Diceros bicornis minor: one gene and its partner. The protein of the gene in region 1 purifies or fractionates together with the protein of each later gene. This does not show direct contact. Links are inferred from orthologs where the notes say so. Each region holds a gene or a part of one and is shown on either strand. Other genes may lie near its edges.

What was found. The genes of interacting proteins can lie anywhere in the genome.
Region 2: the proteins of VAPB (region 1) and AFTPH purify together in Homo sapiens (affinity purification with mass spectrometry; 3 studies listed by BioGRID and IntAct, counting the BioPlex papers as one, with this or other methods). This does not show direct contact. The link is inferred for Diceros bicornis minor from reciprocal best matches to the Homo sapiens genes VAPB and AFTPH.

What each region holds. Positions count from the first base shown.
Region 1 is NC_080758.1:5,266,726-5,274,046, reverse strand, and holds the start of VAPB (vesicle-associated membrane protein-associated protein B/C), read left to right. Parts: upstream 1-4,311; 5' UTR 4,312-4,458; coding exon 4,459-4,516; intron 4,517-7,321. UniProt on the Homo sapiens protein: Endoplasmic reticulum (ER)-anchored protein that mediates the formation of contact sites between the ER and endosomes via interaction with FFAT motif-containing proteins such as STARD3 or WDR44.
Region 2 is NC_080751.1:23,171,839-23,179,737, forward strand, and holds the start of AFTPH (aftiphilin), read right to left. Parts: upstream 3,005-7,899; 5' UTR 2,757-3,004; intron 1-2,756. UniProt on the Homo sapiens protein: Component of clathrin-coated vesicles.

The DNA.
Region 1 (7,321 bases):
CAGCCTGCCAGTGCCAATGGTGCACGTCTCTTTTCAACTCTGTGTCCAGTGACATCCCACAGGTCACTTAAAATCAGTCATGGAGGGAGTGTTGGCACCACAGAAATCTGCAAAAACTACAAATCAGAGTTATTTTTACCCCAGAGAGCCAGTTTAGCATACACCACGGGTTACAAGTAATCTACAAGTAATATATAATAAGCATGCCACTTGCTAATTACACTCTCACCTGCATTTGATGTGACATAGCGCCTGAGAAGCAAGGGCCTTGGAGAGCCACGCGGCTGCTACACTTACGTGGTAGTGACAACAGGACTGTGGGGTAGGGGAGCTGGGTCTGAGTTCACCGGAGCTATTACGGAAAGAAAATGACACGCTCTTTAATCTCTCAGTTTAAGTCACAGTCAGAAAACCAGAGAGATTCTATGGAGCCCTACAATAATCCTTTATTTCTTATAGCTGTAGGTTTTTGACCTTGCTGAAAATCATACCCAAAATTTAATTGGGCAGGTTGCAGAATTACAACATAAATGGAATTCAGAGATTTGCCAGAATCTCAAGCAGTACATTGGATGTCTACCTTGTCTGGCTGAGAGATGGTCAGAAGCACAGGTGTACGCTGACTCGTGGGCAGTGGGTGGCAGGAACAGACACAGCAGAACTGGATTTGGCGAGAAGGAGGTGTGGGGAGGAGGTATGTGGAGCCTCTCAGGATGGCACAGTGTGAAGACACTGGTGTCCTGTGTCGATGCCCACCCAAGGGCATCCACTGCAGCAGTGACTCTGAGAATCAAGTGGACAAGGTGACACATTCTCTGGATGTCAGTCTTTATTCCCAGCTGTGTCATTGTTTGCTCTTTGGGTTTATTTACAAAGTGGCCATCGCGGCAGGTGTGAAGGTTCGACATGGGCCCAAGAACACGGACTTCCCCTCATCAAGCTGACCTGGTCACTGCCACTGCTAAGTGCCTAAAGTGACAACAGTGGAGACCAACACTAAAACCCTAATATGGCCCCATTCCCTGGATGGAGGATGGGCCTGAAACCAATGTTAGAAACCTGCCAGTGCGACCACTCAGGTATGCAAAAGAACCAAACAGAACTTATAGACTTAAAAAAAATAACTGAAATGAAAAACTCCTAAAACAGGTTTATCAGCAGCCTAAGGGACAATTAGTGACTGGAAGAGAGGTTTGAAGAAATATCCAGAATATAGGACATAAACACCAGAGGTTAAGCTGTGACAGAGAAGTAAAGAAATATGGAGAATATTAAGAGAGAGTCTTTGTTTTACAGACTTCTCTATCTCCCTGTTTCTTTCTTTCTTTACCACAGCCCACAGTAATCAATGCATTTGTGACTCACTACATAGATATACCTATAGGTATGTTGATAAATATAACTGAAACAAAAGTTTCATGAAATAATACAATACACTGTGATATTTTCTATTCATTTTCTTTTTCAGTGCTGGTAACAACCCATTAAATTGACTTGATAAGTCACTCTTGAGAAACAATGTACAGTTTGAAAAACATTGGTTGAATAAACTACTAGTCAGACTTCCAGAAGAAAAGAGTGAGAGGATAAGGCTCAGGTAACATTTAAAAGAGATATCGTCACACATGCTCCAACGTGGATGAACCTTGAAAACATTATGCTCAGTGAAATAAGTCAGATACAAAAGGACAAATACTGTATGATTCTACTTATATGAGGTCCCTAGAACAGTCAGATTCATGGAGACAGAAAGTAGCATGGCGGTTACCAGGGTCTGGCGGGTAGGGGAGTGGGGAGTTAGTGTTTATTGGGTACAGAGTTTCAGTTTTGCAAGATAAAGAGTTCTGGAGATGGATGGCGGTGATGGTTGCACAACAATGTGAATGTATTCAATATCACTGAACTGTCCAATTAAAATGATTAAGATAGTAAATTATATGTTATGTGTATTTTACCACGATTTAAAAAATTTTTTTTAATGTTGTCTAAGGATTTTCCAGAATGATGAAAGATACCAATCAACAAATTCAGAAACCCCCGAGAATTCAGGTAGGATGAATGCTGTACACTGAATGTTTGTATCTTCCCCAAAATTCACATGTCGAGACCGGCTCCACCCTAATGAATGCGATTCATGCCCTTGTCACAGAGACCCCAGAGAGCAAGGGAACGCTAACTATGAACCAGGAAGCAGACTCTTGACAGACGTGAAATCTTCCCAGCCTCCAGAACTGTGAGAAATAAATGTCTGTTGTTATTTAAGCCACCCAGCCTATGGTATTTTGTTATAGCAGCCTGAACAGACTAAGATAATAAATAAAAAGATACATCGTGGTAAAACTCAGAACCTCAGAACAGGGGGAAAAACAGATTCTCTTGGAAGGAATGATGAAGAGATTGTTGTCAGAAACCTCAACAGTAACAACGGGAGCGGGAAGCAGGTGGGTGGTAACTGTCACTCTGGAAAACCCGCCAAAATATCTTTCAAGAACAAGGGCAAAATAAAGTGATTTTCAGATGAACAAAAAGCAAGAGAGTTTGCCCCAACAAACCCTCATCAAAATAGGATTTAAAGGATGTACAGGATGGGCCGGCCCCATGGCTTAGCGGTTAAGTGCACGCGCTCCGCTGCTGGCGGGCCGTTTCAGATCCTGGGCGCGCACCGACGCACTGCTTCTCCGGCCTCAGCGTCCCACATACAGCAACTAGAAGGACATGCAGCTATGACATACAACTATCTACTGGGGCTTTGGGGGAAAAAAATAAATAAATAACATTATAAAAAAATAAAACAAAGGATGTACAGTCACAAGGAAAGTGATCCTAGTTGTAAGTTTGAGATGCAAGAAGATGCGCAAAGAAATCAGTAACTGTGTGGTTGAGTGTAAACTAACATCAACTGCATAAAACAAGCTAGTAATGACTCATGGGGTGAAAAGGGAAAGATTAAATTTAGAACACACTACAATTAAGGCATATAATTTAGGGGATGAGTGACTAAAGTATCCAAAGGTACTTATATTTTAAGGGAGCAAGGTAAAGATATTTAAAAGATTGGACTTTCATAAGATAAGTACTCATGCCAAATTTCTAGGGTAATCACTAAAACAACAGAAATAGATGGTGTAAGAGGAAGAAAAATGGAATGAGAAAAAAAATCAGCACTAAAGAAGCAAGAAAGGAGAGGAAAAAGAAAAAACAGGCAGGACAAATAGAAAGCACAAAATAATATGGTAGAAATAAATCCAGATACAGTGTTTATCAGTAAATATAATAAGCGTAAATGGACCAAATGCTCTAGTTAAAAGACAAAGATTATCTTGAAAAAAACCTTTTTTATTATGAAAAATTTCAAGTACGCAGAAAAGTGGGAAGAATAGTACAAAGGATGCCCATGTAGAGTCAGCATTGTTAACTATTTGCTGTGTTTGTTTCATCTATATATATGTAAAGAAGACTGTTAAGAACACATATTTTATGTAGTAAACATATACTGAAATAAAATTTAAACGGCAACAGTGATGTAGTGTTCACTTTTGAGGCCAAGTAGATCTGGGTTCCCAGCAATTTTTAATCGCCTAATTTATTTGTGGGGTTATTTATTCCAAGGTTGTCTCTCCAACAGAATCTAGCGAGAGAGTAGGAACCAGGTCAACTTTTCTGCTTATTGTATTTCTAAATATTTGTTGCATCTACTTGTTATATAGTAAACATGTAATGCAGAGTAGCTCTTATTTATCACAGTTGCCACTGTTGTTATTGAAAGCGTTCAGCAGAGCGGCACAAAACAAGCAAGCAATAATCGGTAGCTTACTGTTTATATTTATTGTTTCCCATACATCACAGTGCCCGGCACACATCATTCACCCACCAACATTATGTTCATAGTGAGAATAAATAGTACTTTCATTATTATTCAAAGTCTCTAACAGTGCCTGGCACTACATAAGGAAAGAAAAGTGCAGTCTACTCTTCTCATTGCTACTGAGTAAAGCATTTCACACCACGGCCGTCCCCCTTAGGCCCAGAATAAGCAATCTTCGCGGTGATTTCTGGGCGTGCCGGACCCGCCCCGCCCCCGGAGCTTGCGACGCCCCGCCCCCTGCCGCCCGGCAGCCCCGCCCCCGCGGCCAGTGCCGCGCCTGCGCACTGCGCTCGGAGGGGCGACGCGCGCGCAGGGCCGAGTCGGCCGGCCTGCTGCGTGCGTGCGTGCGTCGCTGCGTGCGTGCCGTGCGTGCCGTGCGCTCGCCGGGCACCGCGGCCTCGCCTTCGCCCTCCGCCCCGGCGCCTGCACCGCGTAGGCCACCCCCCCCCCCCCCGCGCGCACCCGTCGGCGACCCCCGCCTGCGCCCCGGCCGGCCCCCCCCTCGAAATTTAAAGGGGGCGCAGCCTTCGCGCCGCCCGCCGCAGGTGACCTCCCGGGGGTCTCCCGCCAGAGGTGCCCCGCCGCCGAGGAACATGGCGAAGGTGGAGCAGGTCCTGAGCCTCGAGCCGCAGCACGAGCTCAAATTCCGAGGTAAGCCGCAGGCCCGCCATCTTCGGCCGCGGCCGGGCCGCCGCCCCGCGCCCCCGCCCGCGCTCCGGGGACCGGCCGCGCGGTGACGTCGGCCCCCGCCCGCCCCGACGGCGCGCCCGCCCGCCCCGGGCCGCGGAGCGCTGCTGGGCCCGAGCCCGGCGCGGGCCCGCCCTCCTGCCCGCCTCGCCCTCGAGACACTCGGCGCCTCGGCCGTGCTGACCGCGGCCGTCCAGGCTGCGGTTTTCCGCGCCTGAGTGGAAGCGTGGGCGCCCCCTTTGCCTGGAAGCTTCTTCCCTGCTCTCCACGAGGTGACCTTTTCCTGTCTTGGGTCAGATGTCACCTCCTCGGAGAGGCCTGCCCTGACCAGCCACCCACCCTGGACGCCTGCGTCCATCCCCTGTCACGTCGCCGGGCGGTGGCCAGCACGGCGCTCCCTTGCCTCTGCCACGTGTGCACTGTTTCTGCGCTAGAAGGGAAACTCCATGAGGGCAGGACCCCGTCCTTTCTCTGCTGCCTGCCCAGCACGTGTTCCGGGCCGAGTTTCTGTTGAACAGATGAAGGAAAGGAGCCTCCGCTGGAGTTGTGATGGGACGTGGCCCGACTGCCTTCTGCCTTCCTCATGCCCCTCGCTCACGTCTGTGCCGCTGGGGGCGCTGCCAGGGTCGGGAGATGCCTTTTCTCCCCAGAGCAACCTGGACCTGGAGCCAGAGGAAGCCTAGTGCACCACTGTGTTGGTGGCAAGCCAGGGCCCTTTGTAATGTGTACCTTCATGTTTCTTATGGGTTTTTTCTTCCCTGTCTTCCCCCCCACAATATAAGCTCATGAGACAATAGGGACGTCGTCTGACTTGATTCCTTCTTTTCAGATGTGTTGAGTAACTGCGTAGTAGTCATGTGCTTGGCACTGGAGAGACAAGGAATGAACCAGAGAGACGAGTCCCCTGCTCTCATGGCGCTTACCTTCTAACAGGGGAAAGAAACCAGCAAACAACAATATTTCAGATGGTGGTCAGTGCCGAACAGGAAAGAAAACAGGCTGATGTGATGCCATTAGACCCGAGGTTGTGTGGCCAGCACTGGGCCCACAGTAGGTGCTCAGCAGATATTGGTGGAATGAATGCTGGCTACAAGTAACCCGGTTTAGGTGTACTGTCAGGACGTGATATCGGGTAACTTACCCAGAGTTGCCCAGTTGGCAGATGGCACATTTGAGCTCAGACTTCAGAGCTAACCCTCTTAACAATTATGTTTTCTGACCCCTGGGAAATACTCCAGAACTGTGGCTGTCCAGAGCTTTGCCTCCCAGGTTAACAATCTGAAATGACCCCAGATGCGTAAAGAACCAAAGGTTCTCCAGTTAAAATAAAGCAAAAACAGAAAAGCATCATAAAAGCCTGGTGTGAATTATAATTCCATGACAGTCCTTGAGCTTGCGTGATGTTCTCGTGCCCTCATGGAGGAGGCAGGCTGGCAAGGGAGTCCAAGGAGCTAAAGGGAATGTGGAGGGTGATGGTTTCCACTTGAGTCGTCTGAAGTTCTTTACCCCAGGAGCCTGGCGTGGCTACTCCTGGGATTGGATTGGCACAGTCATTCTTTTAGGCCACAGGCATTTACTGAGTGCGTGCTGCATGTGTCGGGTACCAGGAGCAGATGAGTCACGTCCTATGTATGCCCCCATTCTCCCTCAACCCCCTACCCCAGAACTTAAGTCTAGGGAAGGAGGCAGATGACAGAATCAGCGAGGGCGGCGCAATGATATAAGGTGATCCAGAGTGCTCCGAGAGCACTAAGGAGGTCAGCTCTTGAAAGAGGTGTCATTTGAGCTGAGTTTAAAGGTCGAATGGAAGCAGGCTAAAAGAAGAAATGAGTGGGGAGCATGACAGGCAGAGGAAATTGCACCTACAGAGGCACAAAGGCTGAGCTGACTGGGGTACTTTGAGATGCCGCTAGTAGTTCTGAATGACAGCTGCAAAGAGCCTTTCTTGGTTGCCAGGCAAAGTAGGAGATGAGGCTGGCCAGTAGACAGGAGTCAGATCTTCTAAGGCCTTCTTCTGTGAACAGACGCAGCCAGTGTCCAAGTGCAAGTTGTGTTGCTTCTCCTCAGCTAGTCCTTCCTTGATTGATCCCCTGCAACCTCAACCCCCCACCCCCAGTATACACACTCTTCTCTAATGTGATATTATGGAAAGAGGCACCAATTTGAGAAATTGAAGTTTTTGTTCCAGATCTTTCGCTTAAAGATGTTTGACCACTTCACTCTCCAAAGCCTGGGATCACTCATCAGTCCGTGGGGATGGCACTCATCTGCCTGGCCTCCTTGCCTTGTAGAAGGTTTTGTTACTGCTTGGAAGGTGTAATATTGTGTCTGTTCAGCTGCTTTGTAAATGCACACGGTTACACAGAGATTGGTGGTTGTATTTAGATAACTGATTTCATCAGTTCGACTTCTTTACCTGAAAGGTGCGGAAGAGAAGAGTGATCTGCCTGGGTTGGCCAGTGTAATGATGGGCGAAGTCACTGGATATTTTTGCTAGGGAAGTGGTCCAAGAGAAGTCATGGTGTCAAATTGTTGAAGGCTGTTGGCTCATGACTTCAAAAGAGGCATATTCAGGCATGTGTAAACCACTTTATGAGATTTGTTTTAAACTGAGCACTAAGACAATGAAATTAGAATGGAGGCTCAATACCCTGGCTTGCTGTATAGAGATCATTCATTTCAGGATCCGAACTGGCATATTTAACTGGTCTCTTCCAAGTTGCTCAGGGTGGTGACTCTGACTTGGAGTGGTTCACTTAGATGAATAAA
Region 2 (7,899 bases), on another chromosome or scaffold:
CTCTTTTTAAATATACAATGGCGAAACACAGAGTGATACTTTACATATGTTTTTAAATGAAAAACTTGAACTTTTTATTAAGATTTAAGCATACAACAAAGTTTAGAAAAAAAATATATAATGATCAAGTACCCACCACTTGGCTGTGTCAAATCTTAATCTTTTACCAAATCTGCTTCATGTTTATTTTAAAGACAGTAAAGTTATGGTTGAAAAACCATGGGCCTTCCTAGATCCTTTACCCCTCTCCAGTTCTCCAGAGGTAACTTCTACTCTGATTTGGTGTTTATCATTCCAATGCATGTTTTTATACTTTTGCTACATATTCCACGATTCCCAGAAAATATATTGTATAGTGTGGCATGTTTTTAAAATTATATAAGTATGATAAATAAAACTATCATATATTCTGGCTCTGTCACAAGCTGTTTGATGTTAGGCTGTTTGATGTTAATATCTCCGTGCCTCAGTTTTCCCTAGGAAAAATGGGGATAATACCAACTATTAGCTTATAGGGTTGTTGTGAGGATTAAATGAGTTAATATGCTGTATATAAACCACTTAGAACAGTATCTTGCTCACAGGAAGTAGTGTACATTACTGTTAGTAATTATCATATAAAGCTGCAGAAGGACATGTGTTTGTTTGTGTACACTGATTGAGAAAACATTAATTACCAAAATGTTATATATATATATATATAATTCATATAAATGCCAGATATTTTCAAAATTGCAGAAAAACTAGAAATATTTATGAAGTTCAGGCTGGAAAGGATCACTAGCTTACTTGAAGAGGAACTGAAAGTTCTAAGCATAGAGGAAAGTCTATTTTTAAACTTACGAATTGTAGGTAACATTAAATTAGAATATAAACATTTGACTTAAATAATTTTCGACTGTTTAAAAATACCTAAATACTTAATGGCCTCCTTTTATGAGCTCTGGGGGATAGGGCTGGGAGAGAAGGGGTAATCCCTCAATGACATACTATTTAGACTGTTAAGAGAGGCATTTTAGATTCCACACAAAATAAAACATTACTTGATATTCAAATTTCACTACTTTTCTGAACAAGTTTTTACATATAAGCAGAACAAATCAAAATTTAAAATGATGTTTTATAATAGGATTCATCTACATCATAAGATTTTCATAAAGACAACTGGATTCTGCAAAATTTATCGATGCAATTATCCACACATTATCTTTGTTTTAATATTGGGTTATTTTTATAATAGTCTCTAGGTCAAAAGATCAGAAAACATCAAAACTTAAATGCCCTACATATTACGTGAATTCTAGTAAATTTCTTTCCAGAGTTTTTTAAAGATTTAAAAATATATCTACGCTCTGACGATCAATTAATATATCTGATTGATACATAAAACAGGAATTCGATCTAAGGAGCATTTACTAGGTGCCACTTACCGGGCTTGATGTTTTACACAGGATCTGTCTTTTAATTCATGTGAGATATCTTCATGGACAAAATTTAGAAGACTACCATAGATATTTTGTTTAAACACATATATTTCTGCAAAGAGTTAAAAATGACTACTACAAAAACCAACATTTAAGCCGGCAAAGCATATAAAATGTAGATGAGCTATGCAAATTATATCAACACAACAGTGTTGAAACATTTGCTTCCCCTAGAGTTTAGCATATATTTCTACGTCTAAAAGGTTAACTGAAAGCAACAATTAAACATAACATCAAGGATTAAACTCTCTCCCCCTCCCACCCTCCAAAAAAACAAAAACTCTGAGTACGAGAACGTAGCCAGTGAAAAGGACGATTAACGTTCAAAAGTAAAGTTTTACTTTTCTTCTCCTCAAGTGAGAACTTTGAAACGAAACCACTGCTTTTGTTTCATTTACACCCACCTCCTGCCCCTAGTAAAATATTTACGTGTATGAGTTAGTCCTTTCCTCGACCCCAATAGAAGATTCAGTGGGAAACCAAGCTATAACTTGTATTAACCAACAAGAGAAATACCTAGCCATTCTCAGTACTTTCCTAATAATGGAGAAAGGACCCACCACCGTTCACCCTATACTCTGTCCCCTGCCCAAGCAAGACGCAGACCTGCCAAACTGGGCGCTTAAAGAATAATGGTCCAACTTTTCGAAGACAATCTGGGGAGGAGACGCAGATTATTTCTTGAGGAGTGCAAGAACGGAGCAGAAAAGGTCCTCTCAGCAAGAGATGCATGAGCTTTCGGGCTGTCTCCTCTGCCTGCCTGGAGCATTAAAAATCCGCTTGCTTCAGAGACCCTCGGAAGCAGCACACTCCGATAGCGGCCGGCCTCGGGCCTGGGCGAAGCAGGCAGTGTTTACACCTGTCACGAGGGAGGAGGAGGAAGAAACAGGAAGCCCGAGCAAAGCCCCAAACTTCTCAACAGCTCCCGGGAGGGAGCGGCCGGCGCGGACCTGTAGGCAGGTGGAAGCGGAGGGGCAGGGCGAGCCGGCGGCGACCGGGGAGGTGGGAACGGCTCACACTTCCCGGCCGGTGCCCGGGATGGCGAGGAGGGGGCCGAGCGCCGCCGCCGCCGGCGTCCCCGCACCCGCCGCGGAAGAGGGCAGAGCCCAACTCGCAGCCCGCAGGCCCGCAGAGCCGGCACCGTCCTCAAAGCCCCCTCTCCGCAGCTGGCAGGTGCCCCCAGCCCGGGCGAGCGTCCAGCCGGTGGGCCGCGCCGGGTCCCTGTACCCTCTTCCCCCGGCGCGGCTTGGGGAGCGGAGCGGTGGCGCTCACCTGGCTCGTCCGGGGCGGCAGCGATGGGCATGGCTCAGGGGCCCGGGGAGGAACTGGCTCCCCGGGGAAGGACCGGCTAGTCCGACGCGGAGCTGGTGAGAGCGGAAGGCAGGCTGCTCACAGCCCTGTCAGCGAAGCAGCACCATGGACGCCCACCCGGAGTTTCAGCGCTGCCGCGGGACCCCCGTTCCATTACCCTCCGCCCTCTTCCGCCGCCTCCACATCCTCCTCCGCGGAGACCCCCCGCCCACTCCACACACTCTCCCATCATGCAGCGGGGGACCGCTGCCGCCGACACGTCACTTCCGGGCGCAGGTGGGTAGGTCGGGGCCGGGCGCTGCTGGGTGCTGGGGGGTGGGGGGAGGACACTCCAGGGGAATTAGTGTCACAGAACGCTTACCCCTGCGCAGGCGCTGTCGCGCAGAGCGCCGGCCGCCATTTTGGGTGCGGGCAAGCTGTCCTTTTCCTTTACTTCCTTGCCAGTCATGGAGCTGTGGGAGGGAAAGACGTCCTTAGGCACTTCGTCGCCCGGTGAGGCGGCGCTCCCTGCGAGGGCAGGTGCTCCTCAGTCGGTTAACGTTAACGTTCAGCTTGGGACCGAGAGGTCCCTTGGTCTCCAAATAAAATTGCAAAGGTTTTGAAATACAGAACCATATCTTCTCCACCAAAACCTACTGGAGAACAGTTAGCAGCTTGCCCTTTTCGCCCCGAAAAAGGACTTTTTCATTCACAGTCTTTTAAGTCCGTTTCTCTTTTTAATTTAAGCTGACAGAAGGGGAAACTGATATTTAACAAATAACAAAGAAGAGGTTATTATAAATCAAACTTAAGATGGGAAGCAAGAGGGCAAACAGCCGCCGAACTGACAAATCGTCTTCGAGGCTAACAAAAAAATTAAAAAATAATAGTAATTGGGGATTTTGCTAACGGATGGAGACAGTGGTCGTGTTTCATAGATGCTGCGGGAGAAGAGCCAGTGAAAAGAAATCAAGTCAACTTCTGCATTTCTCTAAGAGTTCCTAACATTCTTTTTCTATCATCAGTCCTGAGCAGTTGATCGTTTGCGTTTTTATAAGCTTTCCGCATCCTTTATCATGAATATCTGTTAGAACACCGGCCACTGTAAAAATTAGTCTACAAGGATTATTGTTATCATCCGGGATGATAAGTCCTACCCTATAAATCATGAGCCCTGACGGGTGCTGCTTCTGCTCACTTTTACCAAACCCGCACCGGTAATTTGAATATTTTAAAATAGTTCCCAAACAGCAAAGCTCAGCAGCTACGCAAAGAAACCTGGATGAAAAACACCCCCTCAGCCACAAAGAAGTGTCCACCCCTTTGAGTGGAGGAATTAAACGAATCAGGGGAAAGATAAGGACAAAAGCAGTTCATCACGGTTTATCCCGCCTCTGCAATGGTCTCGACAAATTAACTTGGAGCACTAAAATAGACCCGCATTAGTCTCTTTACAACTCGATCGCTGTAAGATATACGGAGACTGCATCACTTTAAATTGGAGTACCTATTGCTTTGTGGTGGTGCTGAATTTTTTGTTATTGCTCGGTCGCTAAAGCGGGAAAAATCTATACGGCTTGTCAAATTTACTCTTATTGTATTTCGCCCCCTGCTGGTTTAGCCCGCGTGCAAGCTTTAATATATATATATGTCACTGTAAATGTTTATTGACCAGGAAGGAAAGAAACAAAAATATTTGTGTGTGTGTGCGGAGAAACTGGAAATGAATTGAATTTAGATGAATACATGCTTGTTTTAATTTGATAGCTCTACTAAACAGAAATATCGGAGTAAGAACACATGTCAAAATCCTAAAGCAGACCCTACACTAAGAAAAGGTTTAAACTGAAATAATGAATGTAAACATCAAAACATTGAAAAGAACCCTGCTTTTGGAAAAATTTCTTCCTGATTTCATACATAACGTGATTTTTGTCAGGTAAAAGCAGAAGCCAATTCTATTCACTTAAGAACAATTCAGAAATCAGCATCCAACTTTGTGCCTGGAAATTGAGTAGCTATTTGGCCAGATGACTTGTGAGTGCAATCAACCAACTTGTAATTGGTAATTTCACACATAATTCTGAAGACCACATTCCAATGCCTACAAAATTGTATTACCAAATGAAAGTTTTTATCTTTGAATATTTTTAAGGTGATGAATCTGTGGGAAATATACTTATTAAAATTTATTGCATTTGGATTCAAGGATAGTATTGCTTTTGTTTACTTTTTAAAAATTATGACCATCACTACATTACCTAAGATTTTGCATCAAGAAAAGAAAAAAAATAAATGACTAGTTATAATCTGTTGTATTTACTTCTAGTTTTTTCTCTGTGCAGACTTTTTACAAAGTTGTAATCATAATGTAAGTTGATTTTGTATCCCTTTTTTCATTTAATATTATGTTGTAACCATTTCCTTCTATCACTTAACATTTTATAAAACCTTAATTTTAATTGCCTACATAGTAGTCAATGGAATGGACATACTGTGATTTATCCATTATCCTATTAGTGGATATTTTCCACTATTACAAATAACACTTTGATGAACATTTTGTGCATGTAGCTTTGTCCAATATTAGGAAATTTTTCTCTATATAAAAATGATTGAGGGCCAGCCCTGTGGCTTAGCGGTTAAGTGCGCACGCTCCGCTGCTGGCGGCCCGGGTTCGGATCCCGGGCGTGCACTGACGCACCGCTTCTCCGGCCAGGCTGAGGCCGCGTCCCACATACCGCAACTAGAAGGATGTGCAGCTATGACATACAACTATCTACTGGGGCTTTAAGGGGAGAAAAATAAATAAACAAAATCTTTAAAAATGATTGAGCCAGAAGGCTATGAATGTTTCATTGGCACTTCATCATCTCAAATTATTTTCCAAAAGACCATACCAATTTACAATGCCACCAGTAAAATAGGGGTGTACCAATTTTACCACCTCCTTGCCAGCAGTGGACAATAATTAAAAGAAACTTGGATTGAACTTTATCGACTAAAAGTTGAAATGAACTTAACTCATATTATATTGTTTAAGAAAGCAACAAACAAGCAAGCACAAAATCCCAGCAATGTAGTATTCTGGAAAAGCAATATACATAGACCTGGTTCCACAAACAGGCCCTATTATCCCTATGATTTTGCATAAATTATTTAACCTCTCTGGACCTCAGTCTTTTTATATGTCAAATGAGAGAGTGGAACTACACCATAGGTTCTCAACTCTCTTAGGACAAGTAACTATTTAGTATGTGTATCTCTTGGAGAATATGGTCAAAGCTTTGGCCCTCTCTGCAGAAAATGCTCATCCCAAAGACACTCAAATTTCTTAGACCTCCTAAAGCTCATTCGTGGAAGAGGGTCTACGAACTATAGCTTAGGAAACCCTGCACCAGATGATCTCCAAGGTTCTTTCTGTATCTAAACATTTTCCTATGTTTTTATTTTATAACCTAGTAAACCTTTCTGGCTAAATAATACTTTTTAGTGGATAAATAAATTGTCATATATTCATAGATGGATTAGTATTCAGCACTTAAACTAGAGCTCTAGGCATCAATATGGTTAAACTATAAAAACAAAAGTGAATGAAGTTTCAGAATGAGTAAAATATGATATGAATTTTACAATGTATTTAACTTTTAAAAATAAACCAATACTTTGTTCTTCATGGATATACATTTTTATGGTAAAGTATAAAAATATGGACTGGAATGATATACACAAAATTCATTAGGGGCTAGTATGGAATGAGTCAGACAGCACTAAAGAGGACTTTATCTGTAATTGCAATGTTTTATATCTTTAAAAAAATCTGAAGTAAATATGACAAACTATTTACATTTTTTTCTTTTTTCCCAGCTTTATCAGGGTATAATTGACAAATAAACATTGTGTATATTTAAGGTGTACAACTTGATGATTTGATCAAACCATTTACATTTAATTCTAGGTGAAGGGTACATAGGTGTTTGTTATATAATTCTCTGACATGTTCTGTATTCATTTTTTTCATGGTTAAAAAATAACTTTTCCAGAACCAGTTAGTTTAAAACCGTGAAATATGAACAGCATCCTAGAGATAATTCCTGATGCTAATGCTAATATCTTAGATTTGCACAACTTTTCAAAATGCTTTTAAGTATATTATCTCTTCTGATTCTCACACAGACCCCCGTAGAGCCGATTAATACCATTTTACAGAAGATGTGATCACAGATTTTGGGATTTGTACAAGATTAAAAAGTTAGAGATGGACTTAGGACTGGAACCACAATCTCCTGATTCACAATTCTTTCCCCCTGTATCATTTGGCCTTCTAACTTTGTAGAAGAGTAATATTGTAGTCCCCCTTTTCCTCATAGGTAAAGACAATTGCCTTCATTTTATCATTTAATACACTTTGCTCGTTTTCTTCATGTTTGAATTATTTTCTAATGGAGCTTTTTTTCCTTCTCACAAAGAGTGTGGTTAATAAATGGAACAAACCTTCACTATAAAGTATTGTATATGTAGAATTTGAGCCATTGATAAATCTGCTGAAAAATTTTCAGCAACTTGAGAAATCATCTGGTCCAAAAGCAGTCTCTTCCCCACCTCCCCCTCCAACTTTACAGTAGATTAATAATGTTATAAGAGGTTAAATGACAATGACATCCTCAGTCATCCCGTTGGTTTGTAGAGAACTAGGTAGGTACTAGAAGCCAGGTTTCATGTTTCTAATCCAGAGTAACCTCCATTTTTACTCCACGTTATTTCTTGTTTGTTACAATCTTCTCTTTCCCCCAAAGCATGTAAGAAACCAAACTATTTGGGAACCCAGATGAACTTGTTTTCTATATCCTCAGCTGGCTGTGGCCATAATACAAGATGTGCTGAAAATAAACATTCATGTTAGATATAAATTACATTAATCATGTGGAATAAAAGTATAAAAAGAAACTTGTTCTATAGTAGGAATACAATCAAACTTTTTTTGTTGCTAATGTTTTTGTTTTTGGTTTGGTGGGGATTTCACCATTTTACACTTGGTGAAAGTGTGATGAGCAACAGAGATTTTGTTTCTGAATCATTCCCACTGGCCTTTCTTGGACTTGCTTGTCAAGTTTATTGTATAAAT